2 linked regions of the Drosophila melanogaster genome follow. Each later gene encodes a partner of the first gene's protein in a complex. Each region holds a gene or a part of one and is shown on either strand. Other genes may lie near its edges. The genes, in order: CG6420 and CG9062.

Region 1 (10,962 bases):
TTTCGGCGGCATCGAAAAACAACAGCAAATCCCCGCCAGCATCAACATGGGAGGCGGCCACCCGAAAGCGGCTTATGTCCTGGCCCCACCACCAACACCACCACCATCACTATCACCAGCACCACCTCCACGCCCATGTCCTTGGAGCAGCAGGGCGCGCATAAATTAACCAGCACTCAACCGGGAAAAATCGAAAAGCGCTTTTTAATTATATTTTCGACAATTTGTTTCAATACATGCGAACGCGCGCGTCCTGTTTTATTTGCGCGGCTTTGTGGGCGGATCCTGCGGTTCGGTCCACTGCCAGTGCTTCCACTTTACGCACCGCCGCTCCCGGTCGTAGAACAGCTCGTTGGCCGGGCAACGCTGCAGCTGGGCGGGTCGTTCCCGTTCCCAATCCCTATCCCGCTCCCGCTCCTCCTCCATTGATTTTCCGCCGCACTGCCAGTAGGCGGTGGGATCCCAGAAATGCCGGTAGCTCTGGCCCAGTTCCTCGGCACTGCGACAGCCTGGCTCTCCGTTGTAGTCCCGACCGGACATGGCTGAAAGTGAGAGGACACGAATTTAAGGACATTCAATTTTGGCTATCAAACACGGATATATTAAAGTCATTTCCTTTGGGCCCAAATAATTTAGTCCCAACAGTTGTGTAACTCAATATAGTTGAAGCTGCGTAGTTGTACATAAATAAATGTATTTTTAACAATATTTTACAGCCTTGTAAAAGCGCATTTAAAAAGTTCGCGATGTAAGTATGATTTTTTTGCACTCGTAGCATACGCAAATATTTTTTAAAATAAACTATTTATTGTCAACAAACAAACAGAAAAGTGCGGCGACAAATGTGTTTACGTTGTTTTAAGTGCTTTAGTTTAATGCCCGCAAAAACACAGTTAACCATTAAGCTAAAAGAGTTTATAAATTTTCTTTATTTTTTTTTTGTGAATTAAGTGCTTAAGAAAAATTTCCATTATTTATCTGACTGATTAATCGTGCCCTGACGTTACAGCAAAAATATTTATTTGTGCAAAGTCTTTGTGCTTATCTCACATGCGCTCAGTTACTAAGTTATTTATCAAAGATATTTACTAAATATTTACTTTTACTAGAGATTGCTAGCTTACTTCATTTCTCCTTCATTTCTTTGATTTTTGAATGCATGACAAGGAAATATTAAAAGAAAATAGTTAATATTACTGCATATTTGTTTTATTTTGTTATGTCAAATCTCCAATTCTATGCAGCAACTTCGGGTTGGCTGGGCGGCTGGACAGTGGGCGACCACACCCACTGGGGCCAGGGAACACAGGCCTTGGCGGAGTCCAACCAGGCGGAGGCAATGGGGCACTGGGCGAGGGTGGCGGGAACGCCCTGGGTGGAGCACACCCAGTAGGAGCTCTTCAGGTAGAAGTGGGCATAGAATGCCACCTCCAGCTCCTCGGCCGTTTGGCAACCGGGTTGACCAGTGGGCTTGGCCACAGCAGCTCCGCTGCAGAAGGAGGAGTAGCCGAGGATTAGGAAAAAGGCGAACAGAGGCAGGAACTTCATCTTGAACTAGGGGTGGCTTTCGTTGGACTGACCTATGCTAATCGGTGGCGAGCTTTTTATACACTCCACGAATAGCCGAAATCTTATCGAGCGGAACTGAGGTGTGATGCTGTCTGTGGTCGCGATAAGCTCATCTAGTATTTCCTGCCACCCCCCAGCAACCCACTCTGTTTTCGCATTTTATAGCGCTGTTTGTTTGCCCGATTGCTGTTTCTTCCGCTCGAGCCGAGCTGGATAGGAGCTGGCCAGTTGGGTCCAGGTGGGTACCCATCCCGGTCGGCCTGCTTGCATATTCATGACATCAACGGCAGCTGTAAATTATTTTCAGAGATAGCCGAGGCAGGCCGCAAACAAGCGGAGTAGCAACGATGTTGCCTCGGCTGGATACGCTGGCTAATTAATTCAAAACACTGCCTCAAAGGCATTTTTGGGGCTGGGCCAACAAATTTCACCTGGCTGCGCGGTGGGAGGAGGAGTACGCCTTAAGCCACACAACGTCCTTCGTCCTCCTGGCGCACTTGAGTAATTGCCCCAGTGCACTGCACAGTGCAGTCGGAGTCGGGAGTTGGGAAAAGGCCTCCTTGGCCTTTGTTGCTCAGTTTTGCGGATTGGGCTTTTGTTAGTTTTGGGCCATAAATTAAATCGGGTTATTAATGTCTGCCATTAAGTGAAGCCACCGGGAGGAACGGCACTTGGCTGGCTGCAAAATGCCCACTTCCTGCCGCCGTTGTCCTTGCCACAGTGATTTATGCTAATTCGTGTGGCATTTGTAGCATTTCCCCGAGTATTTTCAGATTTTCAAAGACAAGGCCATTATTTTAGACAGCGCAGGTAGGGCTCACCGTTCACTGATTTAAAATTCATTCGACCACTCCGAAATGCCGAAACCCAATTATGTGACGCACTTTTTTGTTCACTCTCGTCTCACTTTTAAAAACATACTTGCAGCGGTATTAAACGGAATGGAAAACAAAGAGGCAGAAATGCAATTAAATATATTGCGTATACGTCACGTATGCTAAAATTTCATTTCACAATTTTTATACCTCTCCCTTTGATTCACGCTGCTGCCTCTTCGTTTCGCCGTTTGGCTGGCGGAAAATTCTTTTACATGCAAATATTTTGTTGGCACTCGCACGCACGTCGCCCCGAAAGCGAGAAATAAAAATTCAATTGAATGGTATTTTTTCGCCGCTTATTGATGTGCTCGGGGGCCTGACAAAGCGTTTGACTGACAACTGTGAAATGAAATAAAATTCTCGCACCAACTACATGGGCGAGTGCATCAAAAATAGTGCAACTTATTGCCAGGCAGCCAGGGAGCAAAGGGATCGGCTCGATGGCGGTTGCGCCCACATATTGATTTATGACAAATGCCCACCGAAAAGGGGGCGTGGCCCGTCAGTCAAGACCGCTTAACTGGCGTCAGAAGCCGCGCGTTAACAATGGCAACCGTAATTGCAACTGGCCATCGGCGGATCATCATCACACGGCTGGCATAAAAATACCCAATGCAATACCCAAATCTCCGCCATCCGGGACACTGAGAGAAAAGAGTGTGCCTGTTAATATGATTCATTGAGATATCATCATCGAGACTCGCACTGAGATATGCGACTTATCGCTCTCGCGGATCGTGCTCTTGACATTGGCCAGATAAGATGACGGGGGAAACTTGGGGACATGGAGACGTATTGCCTCAAACATTTTTGGCACCCATCTCGATGCATTCTTCATTAGCTTTGGATGCTCTTCAAAGGCATTACTAGAAATAATTGGTTTATTCTCGGCATTACAACAGCTTCATGATATTTCTGTCACTTGTAATGAAAAATAAATAAATAGATTATCAAGTTCCTATCTACTTAAATTTGGCTTACCTATATTTTCGTTATTATTTGCTTAAATTATGTTAAAGAGCGTGACATATTGTTTAATCTTTGCAGTGAAAAAAACCTCCTGAATTCTGCAAACGGATATTGTTATACAAATCTAATAAATTAGCATGTATTTAATATAGTTTTTCTATACTGAAATGCAAATTATACGTGTTAATTTCCCTTTTTTTTTATGCTTTTTATTATACCCAACACAACAATTTTTTAATTGTAATAAAGAAGAGTAAGGAAATTTTCATTTATCAGAGAAATGACCAAAATTTAAACTGTGAAACATAATTTTTAGTTTAAGCCTAAATCCATTATTGTGGCCAAGCAACACGGACTTGCTCACTCTTTTAGCATCCACTCCATCCAGGAGGACGACTGGGCGGCTCCTGGCATGGCTTCCACTCCCAGGCGGTCCATGGCACACAGGCGTTGAGGTCCTGATCGAATCCGGTGTTGGGCTGGCACTTATGAAGGTGCGCCTGCGAGTTGATGGCGCTGCAGAGCCAGTACTTGGTGGGGTCCAAACAATAACGCTGGGGGATTTGCAGCTCCGCCGGGTGGAGGCATCCCGGCTCAGTGGAGTCGTTGCACATCGAGCGGATTCCGGACGGAAGCAGGAGCAGCACAAGGCAGCATGCCAGTGACCAGGAAAAAGCTAATCGGATATAATCAGCTTTAGTCCTTCGAATTGCGACGAATAGCGAGGGCATATACTCACCTTGCGGATGCATGGTTTTAGTGAAAGTGGTTAATTTTCCTGCTGTTGCAGATGGTTTTTATACAAGCAGTCCGGCCCCTCAAGTGGCCATTCTTATCAATCGCTCTTGATTGATTCGAGTTCGATGCGCTGCTCGAGGTCGTCGCTTGTTTGCCCATCCCACTTGGTCGGACTAAGCTGATGGGGGGGGGGGGGGGTGGAATTCCTAGGGTGACAATGCCAAGACAAAAGACATGTGTCCCAAACGAGATTTAGCTGGGAACTTCAATGCAATTGGCAGTGCAAAGTAACGAGAAAATGGGAGCAAGTAAAAGGCGGAAGGGCAGCAAAACAGCAGCTTCATTCTTCTTCTTCTTCACTGGCCAATTTCGCAGGACATGCCAAATGCATTTCCGGCTAACACCACACACACACTACCAGTGGCTGGAATAACGCAAGTCACTGTCATTGGTTTCTGTCGAATGTTGTTTATTTTGTTGGTTGTCCATTGATAAACCAAAAAAAATGAATACTGGAAAAGTTCAAAAAGGAAAAAGGAATCATAAAATGGACTTACAAAATAACCAAAGTTAGGTTATATAACTAAAAACTTTAACATTAAAGTTAGAACTTTATTATTTTCATATTTTTCATAAAAAAAAATGGAATTTATGAATATCATGAAATTCAAATTACGCGCCAAGCGTTTTAATGCTGCCCATTATTAAAAATATTGGCATCATTGATTGCAAACTATTTTGGACAGTCTGGCTGCCTTCACTGGAAATATTTTGTTTCAATGATAATGCTCGTAAATATTTTATACATAAGATGCTAAATCTTTAAGTGCACTTGTCTTAAGAAAGTAATAACAAAAGCAATTTATATATTTCGGCCTTAAATCGTTAAGAGTGACCAGTCTTTGGAGCGTTGTAAATCCAGCTCTTCGAACATCGAACAGTATCGACGGAAAGTATCGACGTTTTCTCACATCGCTAAGCCCAATCAGAAATTAGAAATAAATTAAGTAATTTGTGCGGAATAAAAGCAAGCGTGCGGCCGATGCGATAACCGCGATCCCCGTCACCCTTACCCCGCCGCCACCACGCCGTGATGCAGGCAACCAGCGCAGTGGCCGGAAAACTCGGAAAACTTGGCGAACGCAGCTGCAACGGCAGAAACAACAACAGTGCAAGCACAGCCCCACGAAACTCGGTGTAGTGAAGGAATTAAATCTAATTATAAGAAGAAAACAAGTGAAGGGCAAGCCCAACCCCGCGGCGCTTAATTAGCGGCGACAGCCAGCGATTTTCGTGGCTGGGTAGGAGCAACTGCAGCGCCCGCAGAGCCACCACTAGCACCACTGGCACCTGGCATTCACATGGGCTGAGTGCCGAGTGGATCGGTGGATCGGCGAAGGCGCAGCAGCAGCAGAGGAGCAGAAGCGGGAGCCGCACCAGCGATGGCCAACCAACTGGACGCCAGTGTGAAGGACGACCTGAAGACGCAGTTCGTCACCCGCGAGGGCACCTACCGCCTGCTGACCCTCTCGGAATACTCGCGGCCCAACCGGGTGGGCTACAGCAGCAACCAGAGCTCGCCGCAGGTGCGCGTCTCCATGGTGACCCTGCCCAGTCCGGCGCAGGGCAAGCTCGGCTCGGATGTGGGCGTGGGCACACCTGTGGGCGGCGGAACAGCAGGAGCCAACACCACCACAACGAATGGCAGCTCGCCGGGAGCGTCGCCTACGGGAGCAGCCGGAGCCAGCACAGCAATATCGAATGGAGGCGCTGGCGGTGACTATAGCCACAGCAACCACAACAGCAACAGTGCCGGAAACAACACTGTGGAGGCGCGTCTGGGCGGCGGCATATCCATGCACTCCATGATGAACGGCGGCGTCGTCGACCAGAATGGCGTGGCCACCAATCAGGTCCTAGGAGGCGATCGCATATGCTTCAACTTCGGACGAGATCTCTACGTTTACTCCTTTCGCGGAGCCAAGAAGGTAAACATTGTCGGCCAGAGATAGTCTCCATGCGCAAGCACGTGCGATGGAGGAGAAATGGTGCAGGTGGCGGTGCAGCGAGCTTATCACACCAGAGATAGAATAGAGGCTGCCGGCAATTGCATTCCAGGCGGATTGCACCAGCCAATTGGCGAGGGCCTAAAATACCTTGCCATTTGCATGCAGTGTCCCCCCAGTGTGCTTAATTTGCTCCACTTCGAGCGCTTGATGATCAATTCGCTTGTTTGGCGTTTTTATGAATGTTTATTGCGCTCGAAGGCAGTCGGTTGTGAGCGGTTTCAGCTCATCCCTGCGCGCGGATTACCCTAACTTTTGTTTGCACCTGCTGTAGTCAACGAACATTCCGATAGAGTAATCCTGGTGCGGCTTTCGACCATCCGAATTGCTCATCGCGTCGCTTGTGTTTGCCCTGTTTCCCCTGCCCAGCAGCTGTTTCTAATTCTTTGGCATTCTGTGCGGCAACAGCTTGCGATTCTCCTTATGTATTTGCTTTAGCTGGCTTCTTTGTTGCCATAGTTATCTGCTGGCGAGAACTTGGCAAGGCTTGCATAGAGCTTTTCCCACCTGATTCCGCCAACAAGCTGTTAATTTCCACTCCGCTTTCCGAATGTGTTAATTTCCAATCTTATTTCAACCCACTGAACGTATTCTTCCATTCCAAACTTGGCTCAAACGAAATTATTTGAGCCTGTTCCGCTTTGCCATTTGACTTTCACTGCATTCATATTCTTAATCTTGAAAATTATTCTATGATGATGACTTATATTTCAGTGATTTGTTTATACAAGCTCTCATCCAATAGCATCTTGTTGCACAAAGCATCGAGCTTATGATATCAATAGGGTGGACAGCTTATAAACATTTCCATCTTGGTCACAAGATATTATATAAACTTGGCTTCCATTCAGTGAACGTTTTATTTCAAAGAGTTTCTTGCCTCTTTAGGTTTACAATAGGAAAACGTAACGCAATTCAGAACGACTAAGATAAATATAAACAGATGATAGTGACTCTTGTTGACTTACTTTCAGGGCACGGAGATGAGCAAGCCGATCGATAAGAAGTTCTACAAGGGCACCAATCCCAGCTGCCACGACTTCAACATAAGCTCGGCCACGCCCACGGGAGCGCCCCTTCTGGTGGGCTTCACCACAGGTCAAATCCAGCTGGTCTCCCCGCACGTTGGTCCTCGGGAAGTGAGGAAGCTCTTCAACGAGGAGGTGAGTGTTCCACCTGAGATATATATATATATAGCCCTTCAAAGCAAACTGATTATTATGTGTGTTTTTCAGCGACTGATCGACAAGACCAAAGTGACCTGCCTAAAGTGGCTACCCAACTCACCGCACCTGTTCCTCGCCGCCCACGCCTCAGGTCACCTGTACCTGTACAACGAGGAACTACCCTGCGCCGCCACAGCGCCCAGCTATCAGCCCTTCAAGCTTGGCGACGGCTACACGATACTCACCAGCAAGTCCAAGACCACAAGGAACCCGCTCTTCAAGTGGGTCTTCAGCACCGACAACTGCTGCGTCAATGAGTTCTGCTTCTCGCCTTGCGGATCTCACTTGGCGGTGGTTTCCCAGGACGGTTTCCTGCGCGTCTTTCACTACGACACCATGGAGCTGCTCGGAATCGCACGCTCCTACTTTGGCGGCTTCCTCTGCGTGTGCTGGTCCCCTGACGGCAAGTACATTGTCGTGGGTGGCGAGGATGACCTGGTGACTGTGTGGTCGCTCCACGAGCGACGTGTAGTGGCTCGCGGACAGGGCCATCGGTCCTGGGTCTCTGTGGTAGCGTTTGACCCGTATACCACCTCGTACACAAACTGGGATGGCGGCGACTTCAGCGACGATGAGAATCAAATGAACGAGTACTCCCATTCGCGAGAGGCGCGCTTCTCCGGAGATTCCACGGCCAACGGTGGCTTCGAGGGTTTCGACCGAAACTCCACACCCGTTCACGCTGACCGCAACGGACCACACTCGGCCTCCTTTCGCTCGGACGCTTCTTCGGCCGAAAAGCTAATGAGTTATAGACTTGGCTCCGTCAGTCAGGATACCCAGATCTGCCTATGGGACATCACGGAGGACGTTCTACGCCACCCATTGGTGTTAAGGCAGCCCGCTAACAGTGAAAGGGCCTATCTCAACGGTGGTGTCGACGAAGAAGCGGAAGCAGAAGACGGCATAAAGGTAATCCGACCAGTGGCCATGTCTGGTCAAGCGACTGGACAGCAAGCGGAATCGGGCAGCTGTAGTCCAACACGGGAAGCAGCGGGCGGAGGCACAGGGAACGGTGCTGGCGAGCACAGCAATAGCAGTTCCAGCAAGTTCTCAACCGCCAACTGCACGATATCCTCGCAATCCTCGCCCGACGACTGCGACACCGAGGCAGCCACTCCCGCCTCAACTTCATCGAATGCGGGCGCAGGCTCGGTGGCTGGAGCGGGAGCGGTGGCCTCAACGAAGCAGAACAACCGCAACCATGGCACTGGCAACTCAATCAAATTCCCCAACTGCATCAGCGCCACCAAGTCAGACAGCATTGACGGAGGCGGCGGCAGCGGGAGTGGACAGAGGCCGTCGCAGACTACATCGGGATACAACAGCAAGACTTCCAACAGCTCGAACAAGTCCTCCAACTCGGGCAGCGGCTTCAGCGCCTTCAACAGCCTCACGCAGCGTCTCTCGAACTTCAGTTTCCTGAGCAGCTCGGAAAAGAAGGGCGCTGGCTATGAGGGAAGCCATTCCACCGCGCACCGTCAGCACCGCAAGGCAATGAGCATGCTGAAGAGCTACAACCAACACAACCACACTGGCGGACACAACAACCACAGCCAGAGTAACAACAGCAGCTCCTCCAACTTTGGCCACTCGAGCACTCTGGATTCGAATGCAGCCGGGGCCATTGGCAGCAGCTCGACGGCGCATAGTTTCGGATCACTGAAACTGAGCCGGTCCTCGCACCACTCCTCATTGGCCACAGCCGCCCATGCGTCGGGATCTGCAGCGGGCTCTGGCTCCGGTGTCAGCAGCTTCGATCCCATGCAGCTTATCGGAACTCCTGCCTGCCCCCGTTTCGATGAGTGCCCACTGCTGGAGCCGCTGGTCTGCAAGAAGATCGCCCACGAGCGGCTGACGGCGCTGATCTTTCGCGAGGACTGCTTCCTGACGGCGTGCCAGGATGGATTCATCTACACCTGGGCGCGGCCAGGTCATGCCACGGTGAGTGCGACACCTTGATTCTATAGACTCGAAGCGGGCAATATTTTTAATGATATACCCTTCTTTGACAGCACGCCACTCAGCACTTGTCACCTGGACAGGCGGCGGCGCCCGGCGGGACGGTAATTTAGTTCAATAAAGTGGACTTGGTCAACTATCAGCGTAATCTTGTCAAGCAGCAGGAGCAGGAGCAGCAACAGAAGCAGTCGGTGATCTAGGTTAAAGCTAGGCGATTGATTTCGGTAATTTATTGATAGGAGCAAGAGTTTTAAAGGTTTTATGTTGCGTATTTTGTATTCCAAATGTAGCCTAAATGAGTTTATGAACCACACACGACACACCGTACACCCGTAATATATATACATATATACATATATGTATATATACGATATATAGCTATGTAAAACATAACTACGATCTATATACGCAGCATCATCAGGCAACAGAACAAACGTATATGTTTAATCTAAATTATTAGTTGTAAATGTATTATTTTTTTAGTACGTGGAATTTGTTGAAAACAAAGCAAAGCATGTTTATAACTATTTACTAAGTGCTAGCCTACACTACACACGATAAATAAAGCAAAAGAACGAAGAAGTGAACTGCATTAGCGAACTAAAATAAACAGAATCAAATAGAGGAATGGAGTGGAAGGGAATGAGAAGTGGACGTCTTTACACATCGTGCTATGTACTGAGTTGCGGTCGAGGCCCCAAACTAACCAACGACGAACTATCTAACTATGTAAACTCACGAACTAACCTAAAGTAGGAACTGTTATCATTACTAATACTATGGATTCGTATGCCTTTTATTTTTTGATGCAAGCCGCCGAGTGCAACGTTTTAGCATGCAGACGACAACCGAACAAATTAGACTAAATGCAGACAGGAACCGGAAATCGGTGATCGGAAATTTGAAATCTGAAACCCGAACCAACACAGCAACAAACATTTCACACATATATTTTATAACGAGCCAGGAGAAACAACAGTCGGCACCTTGCGATGTTAGCCAATAAGTTAACAATGAGCCGAGCAAGCAAAACCAACCAAGAACACGTTACAGTAAAAAAAGACTAAAATTTCAATAAAATTATATAAAAAATTAGTTTTCATAGCTGGTATTTATTTATAAAATGTGTTTGTTTCTAACAAAAATATGCTTCTCTCGCTCGAGTCTCAAATGAGACAACCACAAACTTCATGCTGGAAAACACAATGCCTAGGCTCTGTGGAATCGTTCGACATGTGAGTGGCCACCCTGGCCACGATTAACTCAAGGAGTATGCAAATTAACCTATCAAGCCTGTGGGTTAGAAGGTCTTGGGCACCGTCAGCACCTCCGCCTCGGGCAGATACAGGTGCTTGGAGAGCAGGAAGGCGAACAGCGCCTGTCCCGCGACGATCATGAACAGGAAGTAGAGTTTGCGCTTTTTCCCGCCGCTGTAGTCAAATTGCTGTGGATTGCCATACGGATCGTAGTTGATGGCTCCACTGGGCGCAGCCGGGGAGTTGTCCTGCAGCAGTTTCGTCCGCAACGTGCGGAGCTACAATGAAGGTAAGATTA
Region 2 (9,170 bases), on another chromosome or scaffold:
CCCGGCCGGAATGAAAAAATTTAAAATTGTGTTTTTTTAACCGATTATGAATTTTTCGGAATAGTTAAAATAAATACATAATAAACAACTTGGCATCTTGGCAAGTGTATTGATATTATACTTTTAAAAGTAAAATACAGACGATTCTTAAAACCCCTATATCGGTATAATAAATAGTTAAAGTGCAACTATCATGCTCATTAATAAATGTTTTTGTTCGCTTGTTCCTTGACTATTGAAGTACGCGTGGAACATTAACAGTACACAGTGCAATTGAAAGTGTTAAAACGAACTAATCTTAGCTTATTTAAAGATAATATTAGAAATATAACGGAACCAGTAATACTCCATTGAGAAGCAGGTACATAGTAACGGTTGCACTCTTTTCCAATTGCAGAAGAGCGAGTAGAGTGATGAGCGAATCTCTATCTTCTCAAGTGGAGGAGACCAAAGTGTCCGATGATGATGGTGTAAAAGAGAAAGCTGAAGTGTCCACCGCCAAAGATTCGGCGGAAACGGCTATGGAAGTGGAGGCAGATGACACTGGTGGTCAGCAGCCGGAGCAGAGTGAATTGTTGGATAAGGAGAAATCTGCCACGGTGGATATAAACACACTCACTCCCTCGACGCCCTCACAAACCCCGCCACAACTGCTGGCCGTCGAAACTGCCACATCGGGAAGCACGGCCGTCATTCCGGAGAACATCCTGTCCCCGCCCAAGTCAGAAACTCAAACCGATGAGACTAACACGGCAACATCGACGTCCTGCTCCCCAGCCTCTGACGGTCAGCGGTCGCCGGCGGCGGATCAACAGTCATCGGCACCACCGCCACAGGTACAGGCACAGGCCACGCCGGCGCCGGTCAATGGCTCCGTACCAAAGTCGGGGAAACCACTCTCCACAGCGCTCAGCGGCAAGAAGACCAGCAAAGCGGCCACTACGTCACCACGTGCATCCAGATGCCGCAAAACCAAGGCGCTGCCCATGTACGAAAGCGAAATCAGCGACAACAAGATGGGTATCCGACTGTGCATCAAGAAATCTGATGCCGGAGAAGGCGCACCTGCTGGTGTCACATCTCCGCCAGTTGCAGTTCCCGCAGCAACAAAAACTGTGCGCAAGCGCGTCCGTAAACCAAAGCAACAGGACAGCGATGAGGCCGAGTATGAGCCGCGCAAGAAAAAAGGCGGAGGAGGTGGTAGTGGCGGCGAAAAGAAGGTTTCAACGAGTCCGGATGCTGCGGAGGCGGCTGGCGATCCAGTCGAGCAGAGTGTCTGGGCTCAAAAGCTGCCCGAGGAAGTCCTATTCAGAGTGAGAATTAAACCAAGCAGCATATAAATGGTGTTCGTAATATGAATTCATCTTACAGATCTTTGAGCATGCTGTGGATACACAGGGCTGTCTGCCCACCCTGTTTCGCCTTGGCAGAGTTTGCTCGCTCTGGCGGCAGGTGTCTCTTAGGCCTACTCTGTGGCGCACTATGGATCTTACCACATGGGTCAAAGAGAAATATCGCACCGAACTCAAGCTCAAGTGGTTTGTCGACAACCGCTGCAGTGCCTGTACAGACTTGAATGTTTGTAAGTTGAGAAGTATGGTCTTGAGACTATAATTTAATTTTAAAATATCTCCTTTCAGCCAATTGGAAAATATCAGACATAAATTGCTTCCTTGCCAAATTGTCAAGCGGGTGCCCGAACCTTGCAGGCATTACGCTCTCCGGCTGGAAAGGTTTCACTTCGGATCATCTTACGTATTTGGTGGATAACATGCACAAGTTGCAGCGCTTGGACTTAAGTTCCATCAATGTATGTTGTGGCATGTGTTTGCGAAGCTATATCTGATTCAAATTTGTATCGCACAGGTTGAGATGAATGCCAGCAAGAGCGCCGTGGGTGTCAACTCCCTATGCAATGCACTCCAGACCATGGGCAGCCGTCTAACACATCTCTATTTGGCGCACAATCGTCTGGCAGGAATACCACAAATAGTCGGAATTCTTTCGGTGAGTTCACAACGCTTTTACAACTTATTTCCTATGACTTATGGGCTTCTTTTTCATATTGCAGACGCACTGTCCGAATCTAACATTATTGGATCTCTCGAACGTGACCACGCAGGCCACATCACACGGTGTACTCCACATTGAGAAGTTGCAGCGTGGCTGCCAGAAGCTAAAGGTCCTGCGTGTGACAAACTCTCATATAACGCCAAGCACGGCATCAATGCAGGAAATTGTAAGATTCGCATTTCAATGTTCGAACTATGTTTTAAAAGAAAGCTTTTGCAGATGGACTCACCTGGTTTTCCGGAACTTGAAGAACTGTCCGTGGCTGCCTTAACAGATGAATCCCGCATCATAAGCGACGACCATCTGCAGCGCATCCTTAAGAGCAGCTCCAAGCTAAAGCTACTGGACGTACGCAACTGTACACGACTGACGCACGAGAGCCTAATCCGCTTACCTGCCTGGGATATCAAGCATTTATTCCTGTCAGGTTGCTCAGTCACACGAGATATGGGGTGGGTCTAATTAGCATTGTTATGCAGAACGCAGACTAATCAAAAGTTTTCCCAACGTAGGTCGGGTCTGGAACTCATTGCCTCAAAGTGGGCGCACAGTCTCATAGAACTGGATTTGGCTTGGGCGAATATGCAGCAGCCCATTGATAATGCGTTGCGCGCCCTAGCGGAAAAGGGCAGAGATTCGCCGTTGGCGTGAGTATATATTGAACTAATGTATCTATTGTGTGCTAATATATATTATAATTTATTTCTCCCCTGCAGTCATTTGAATCTATGCGGCTCCTCTGTTTCCGATGAGGCGGTAAAGGAAATACTGACGAACTGCCAAAATATGAGCTCCATCAACTTGGCATCGTGCCGTGGTCTGCCGCGAGGCGTCAAGCGCTTGATGCAGGGACCGCAGGAGCTAGGCGAACTTCGGGAGGTTCTGGGGGTGCAGCTGAAGAGCAGCAGCGGGAGCAACTAATCCAGTCAGTGGGCAAGTCCACACATCGGTTTTATTGTTGATCAGGCGGGCCAAGTTTAAATGTAATTTAAATTGTTGCATCCCTCTTCGCGCGAAAGGCGTTAAGCGCTTTGTTGATTTTGTAATGTAGTCCGCAAACATATTGCAATATTTGCATATTTGCAATCGCTTGCATCTTCCAATAATGCTTATTTTGTTTATAGGCCCTAGAGCGTAACTACTGTACTAGCATAGTATTCTCTGCACAGCGGCAGCAGCGAGTTCCTCCCTTTTCTGGAGGTGCCCGCATTAGATGCTGTGCGAATAAGCAACCTTTTGTAAATGCAATATGTATTCATAACTAAGTTGATTCGAATTTTTTGCAGCGCGAAAATCATTTCCTTTTGAAGACAACCGTTGCAACGATTTTCAATGATTTTTTTTAGTATATATAATGGTATATATATATATATACATACTGATTTATTGATAGTTAAGTCCGACCATTGAGCGTTTGTAAAGTATGTATACAAGAATTAAAAATAAGTTTAAAGTGTATAATTCGCAATACAAAAAGAATATATTTACCATAAAGTAGTCGTCAATTCAAAGTCGCCAAGGCAATTTGTAGAATGTTTTAATCCGACAAGAATGTACATATTGGCGTTTCCGATTAGATGTTTTTATATAAACGAAGTAACCATTTATAAAGGTAACGCATATACCACACATACATAACATAAATTAAAACAATTCAATTGTTAAGCATTACTAGCAGTTAAGAGACGGCAATTAAAGGTACATTTAATTTAAAATAAACGCAAACATTTTCAATCTACACCCGGCATTATCCATCTCTTGACACAGCAAAACACACCGCTCAGTCGGGTTTATAGTATAATTTTATTCAAATATGCGGGAGATAATATTGCATTACGAGCTATGTACGGCCAAGACAGCAATTACAGTACGAACCCACTTTTGGGTTCGAATACCTCAGTCCTATATCGTATCGATCAGATCATCTAGTTCTTCTGCAGCTTATCCACGTCCTGAATGTAATCAGTGCCGACCTTCACGATGGCGGCGCCAGTTCCCAAGCCCGCCAGGGTCGCCAGCAGTGCATTGTCCTGTGGCAGGGCGGACTTGATGAGCGCCCAGGCCAGAACGGATCCCATGGAGAATAGGGTGGCGCCCAGCAGGGCGTACGCACCTCGCTTGTTGTTCTTCACGTCCTTCAGGTGGGGCCTGCCGTAAATGTAGAAGGCACTGCCCACCACCGCGGAGATGAGGAACACGTTCGTCAGGTCCTTCTTGGGCAGGATTTTGGGCACGATCTGGGGGTTCATAACATTCACCGCAAGGGCTCCGTAGCTCACCAGGCCGTGCAGCGGTATGTAGTAGTTGAACACATTATCCCGGGTGAAGGGCTTGAGGCCCACTTTGTCGCATATGCTGCAGGCGTCTTTTGACTGTGTCCCGGCCATTATTATCGGTGAAAATGCAATTAAGTTTTTGGATCCCGGTGAGGTCGACGAGTCTTCTTCTTCTTGTTATGTAAAGAATAGGGCTGCCAGGTCGCGATATATGTGAAAGTTATGTCGGTCTTCGCGGACACTCTGCAGATGGTATATCACTGGTTCTAGGTAGATATGTGTATAAAGATGTAAATGTTTTGACCAATATAATATGTCAATGTCTGAGAGATCCTAATATATAAATGTACATATCTGACAGGGAGAGTACTTGTTATCAAGGGCTTTAACGCTTGGAGCGCTCATGTTAGTGGGCGTTTTGCGTATTTGCATAACATTAGCCCCGATATTTCCTGAATGTACAATTAAAAACAAATGTTATAGTTATTTTCTTGGCTGGTTTTTTAAAAATTTTCGAATTTTTAAGTTTAGTGGTTCCGGAACGAGTCACCTTTCTGAACAAGAAGTGTCAACTCTGTTGAACAGCCGGCACGGTGTGCACAACCAGGTGGCAACACCAGCCGGCGCAGGAGAATGAGTGGAGGAGTGCCTGAGAGGTGGGAGGACCGAATGGGGAGAGACAGAGAGCGAAATAGGTGCGAAAAATTTGTAGTTGCCTGGAAATTCCTCAATTTCAATTTGCAAAAAGTAAATATCAGCCGCCCCAAAGCAACGTCGATAAATGTGCGCGCCCCGCGAGCAGAGAACAACCAACGCCAGCTCCTGAAGCACTTCAGTCCAGAGATATCGCCGAGAGCCACAGTGCAGCAGATCCGTGGACGACATGTTGACGCACAAAACTTGTCAGGCACGTAAGAAAATGCAGGTGAGTGCGCCAATTGAAAACGGGAAGGAAAGCGGACACCTAAGCCCAAACTAATTCAATTAAACCGTCGGACGCCAGGTTTCCTTCGTGATACGGGACGCCGAGGAGAAACAGCACCGGAATGGCGTAAACGCTCTGCAGCTGGATGCCAATAACGGCAAGTTGTACTCCGCCGGTCGCGACGCCATAATCCGTGTGTGGAATACACGGACGGACTCCAGCGAGAAGTACATACAATCGATGGAGCACCACAACGACTGGGTCAACGACATAGTACTTTGCTGTAATGGCAGGAACCGTGAGTTGCTCCACCGATCAGTTTAGGCATTCATTCAAACATTCAATCTTTTGCACTCATAGTTATTAGCGCCAGCTGTGATACCACGGTGAAGGTGTGGAACGCCCAGAAAGGCTTCTGCATGTCCACCCTGCGGACCCATCGCGACTACGTGCAGGCGTTGGCCTACGCCAAGGATCGGGAACAGGTGGCCAGCGCTGGACTGGACAAGGCCATCTTCCTGTGGGACGTGAACACACTGACCGCGCTCACGGCGAGCAATAACACGGTTACCACCTCTAGTCTAACCGGGTCCAAGGACTCAATCTACAGCTTGGCCATGAATCCATCGGGCACCGTGATTGTGAGCGGGTCCACGGAGAATATACTGCGTATCTGGGATCCCCGCACCTGTATGCGCAGAATGAAGCTGCGAGGCCATACGGAGAACGTGCGCTGCTTGGTGGTGTCGCCCGATGGAAACCAGGTGGTGTCTGGCAGTTCCGACGGCACGATCAAGGTGTGGAACCTGGGCCAACAGCGCTGTGTTCAAACCATCCACGTGCACAAGGAGGGCGTGTGGTCGCTGCTGATGAGCGAGAACTTCCAGTACATCATCTCCGGCAGTCGGGATCGCAACATCATTGTGACCGAGATGCGGAACCCTAGTAACAAAACGCTTGTGTGCGAGGAGCAGGCGCCCGTGCTGAGTCTGGGCTACAACATCGACAAGACTGGGGTGTGGGCCACCACCTGGAACTCGGACATTCGCTGTTGGAAGCTGCCCATGTACGACAGGTGCACACTAAATTCCTCGGGCGGAATGGACGCACAATGGACACAGGGCGGCACTGAGGTGGCCTGCATAAAAGGTGGAGCCGCCATCAAGGAGTGCGCGGTGCTGAACGACAAACGTTATATCATAACCAAGGACTCACAAGATCAGGTCGTGGTGTACGATGTGCTGAGAGTTGTCAAAAAAGAGCAATTGGGCGCTGTTGATTTCGAAGCGGAGGTGAAGAAGCGTAATAAGCAGGTCTACATTCCAAACTGGTTCACTGTTGATCTGAAAACCGGGGTGAGTTAAGCTAAGCTCTATTGAAGCTTAAGTTCGTTTATACTTAATTATGCTTTGCAGATGCCAACGATTGTATTGGGTCAGGAGGAAGTGGATTGCTTTTCCGCTTGGGTTTCCATTGAAGCTGGACTGCCGGAGTGCGTCGATCCCACAACAGAGATTAAGGTTGATCGCTCATCAGACCCCTTCACATATTAAATGCCATTTAAAATGCTTTGTTTTTTTATAGATCAACTATGGCAAATTACTTTTAGAAGCCCTGCTAGAGTACTGGACACCACCGCATAGCATACCACCAAACGAAATGGAACCCGATATGCACGGCAATGGCTACTTCCAAGTGCCCAAGCACACGCCCGTCATCTTTAGGTTAGTGACTGTGATATAACCTTATCTGCACCATAACTAATTTCTCAAATTTCTGGCTAAATTAAACAGTGAAGTGGGTGGCCGCACTGTTTGCCGACTTTTGGTACGCGACGCAGCTGGCGATAGCGAAAGTACCCTGCTCCACGAAACGGCGCCTCAGTGGGTGACCGACGTGGTGATCGAGAAGAACATTCCCAAGTTCCTCAAAATACCGTTCTTCCTGCAGCCTCACCCGCAAATGACCAAGCCTGAACGAACGAAGAAGGTAGCCGTCCTTGACAGCAAACAAAACTCATGTTCTAACGCAATTTATATTAAATTTTTTAGGATCGTCTTGTGGCTAATGAATTTATTCAGTGTCGCAAGGTCTGCGAGCACGTGCTTGAAAAGGTGCTGAATGCGGAAACTACCCCAAGTGGGGGCAATGCTAACAATTCACTGCAGAATAGCCAGAGCGATGCTAATTCGGAGGGATCCCAACTGCCAGCTGAGGAACGAATTGAACTGTGGTGTAACGATGTGGTAAGACAAATGGACAAATCTCATTTAAAGGACCTTGTTCACCGCCTTTCCTTTAAAGGTTGTGGACCCCAACATGGACCTGCGCACGGTGCGCCACTTTATCTGGAAGCAGTCGACCGATCTAACGTTTCAGTACAAGACCAAACAGAATTTCAACTACGATGGTAAATAAGAGAGCCCACGCATTGAACAACACAAGAACACCTATCACAAACACAACGCATACTTGATTTCTGCAATTGCTATTGCCTAACCGAGAGTTGTGCTTATATATATCCGCCCCATAGGTTCGATCGGGGATAGCTTGGAGCGCGTGACGCGCAAGTATTGAACGCTGGCAAGTGATCTCCCGCCTAACCGAAGCAGTACCGATGCATTATTGAATGAGAACGAGATTGAGCAGATCGATTAACAATTTATATTTTTATAAGTTGATTTTGCAATATATTTGAGTTAACCTGCGATTCGTCTCATCTCTTCTCGACTCGACTCGTGGACAAACACAAACACATTCAAGGAGAATCTGTACGAGCGTTAACTTTAAATTTAAAAGTGCACCGGAGTACTTTTGTTTGTTCACTTCTCGTTAGGAATAAATATGTACTTCAGATTCAGACTTATAACAATTAGGCTTGCGACACACGTAGATAAGCATTGCAAAGGAGTAACTGCAGACATACCATTAAATCGTATTTGCATCTGAAGCAACTAGACCTAGAGTATTGCGCATATATGTATGTATGTAATATTCACACTTGTTTCACATTAGGTTTATACATAATTATTTACATAGAACATACATAGGTATAAGAAATCTGTTAAATATACAGAAAAATCAATGCAATGGTAGTAGCCCAACTTGTAAAGAGCTCTATGCAAGCCAATTTGTACATAAGTAATAAGCGAAAATCGAAAACCAGGATGGAAATCAATTAAAGTTATTAAATTATTTGGAAATCAAGCCTGTCTCTCAGTCCCTAAGATGATTACCCGCCCTCTTAACTAACAACTAGGAGTGTGCTCCTAACGCCGACGTCGCGTGCCCGCCACTCGGGAATAGGACTCGATGCAGGTCAGCAGGCTGAGCAGCTGTTGCTTCAGCGTCGAGGGTATGTGGTATCCGTGGATAATCCTCCGTGGCGCGTTGCTCGTCCGGATCAGCCAGCGGGCGACCAGCCAGAGGCAGTTTTCGCGCAGCGATCTCATCGGAAAGTGGATCAGCACTTCGCTGCGTACGTCAACCAGCTGATCCGGACTCTGCTGGCTCTTGGGTACCCGCACCCGAATCGGCTGAAAGATCCTCTGCGAGCGTACGTGCATCCGTTCGCCCGTGTAGTAATCCCGGAACAGCCAGCTGTGTGTGGTGAACGTGTTCACCCGCACCTCCTCGAAGGGCTTGAGGGTAAGGTACATGTTCTCCCGCTCCCGCTCGCACACCCAGTACAGATCCAGGGTGCGATAGGTGGTGTTTGCAAACAGCACGTACACCTCCACCTTTCCCTGATCAGCGCCCACCAGCTGCTGGCCGTCGCGGTTGTTCTGCGCTATTTGGAGCGCCATCTCCAGCAGGGTGCTAAGCCGATCTGCAATGGCTGCCAAATCAATTTTCGTTGTTTTACGTTTGCACAAGCCGTGGGAATTGGATTGAAT

Evidence for each region.
Region 2: CG6420 (region 1) and CG9062 share a complex: the UniProt entries of both Drosophila melanogaster proteins name them as parts of the usp12-46 deubiquitylase complex.

Annotation. Positions count from the first base shown.
Region 1 is NT_033777.3:26,719,347-26,730,308, reverse strand, and holds CG6420 (uncharacterized protein), read left to right. Parts: upstream 1-5,092; 5' UTR 5,093-5,596; coding exon 5,597-6,142; intron 6,143-7,194; coding exon 7,195-7,383; intron 7,384-7,455; coding exon 7,456-9,390; intron 9,391-9,461; coding exon 9,462-9,521; 3' UTR 9,522-10,462; downstream 10,463-10,962. Other genes in the region: CG14246 (uncharacterized protein), read right to left, coding at 259-540; CG14245 (uncharacterized protein), read right to left, coding at 1,237-1,548; CG14244 (uncharacterized protein), read right to left, coding at 3,785-4,092, 4,156-4,168; Yif1 (Yip1-interacting factor 1), read right to left, coding at 10,709-10,942. UniProt on the Drosophila melanogaster protein: Regulatory component of the Usp12-46 deubiquitylase complex.
Region 2 is NT_033778.4:11,279,788-11,288,957, reverse strand, and holds CG9062 (uncharacterized protein), read left to right. Parts: upstream 1-4,986; 5' UTR 4,987-5,044; exon of another isoform or gene 5,045-5,107; 5' UTR 5,108-5,232; coding exon 5,233-5,274; intron 5,275-5,352; coding exon 5,353-5,572; intron 5,573-5,634; coding exon 5,635-6,629; intron 6,630-6,689; coding exon 6,690-6,794; intron 6,795-6,858; coding exon 6,859-6,998; intron 6,999-7,067; coding exon 7,068-7,263; intron 7,264-7,325; coding exon 7,326-7,520; intron 7,521-7,578; coding exon 7,579-7,684; coding exon of another isoform or gene 7,685-7,692; exon of another isoform or gene 7,693-7,807; coding exon 7,808-7,851; 3' UTR 7,852-8,474; downstream 8,475-9,170. Other genes in the region: Fbl6 (F-box and leucine-rich repeat protein 6), read left to right, coding at 414-1,313, 1,372-1,582, 1,641-1,810, 1,867-2,007, 2,072-2,239, 2,293-2,525, 2,586-2,720, 2,790-2,994; CG13220 (uncharacterized protein), read right to left, coding at 3,999-4,460; Vhl (von Hippel-Lindau), read right to left, coding at 8,544-9,080. UniProt on the Drosophila melanogaster protein: Regulatory component of the Usp12-46 deubiquitylase complex. activates deubiquitination by increasing the catalytic turnover without increasing the affinity of deubiquitinating enzymes for the substrate.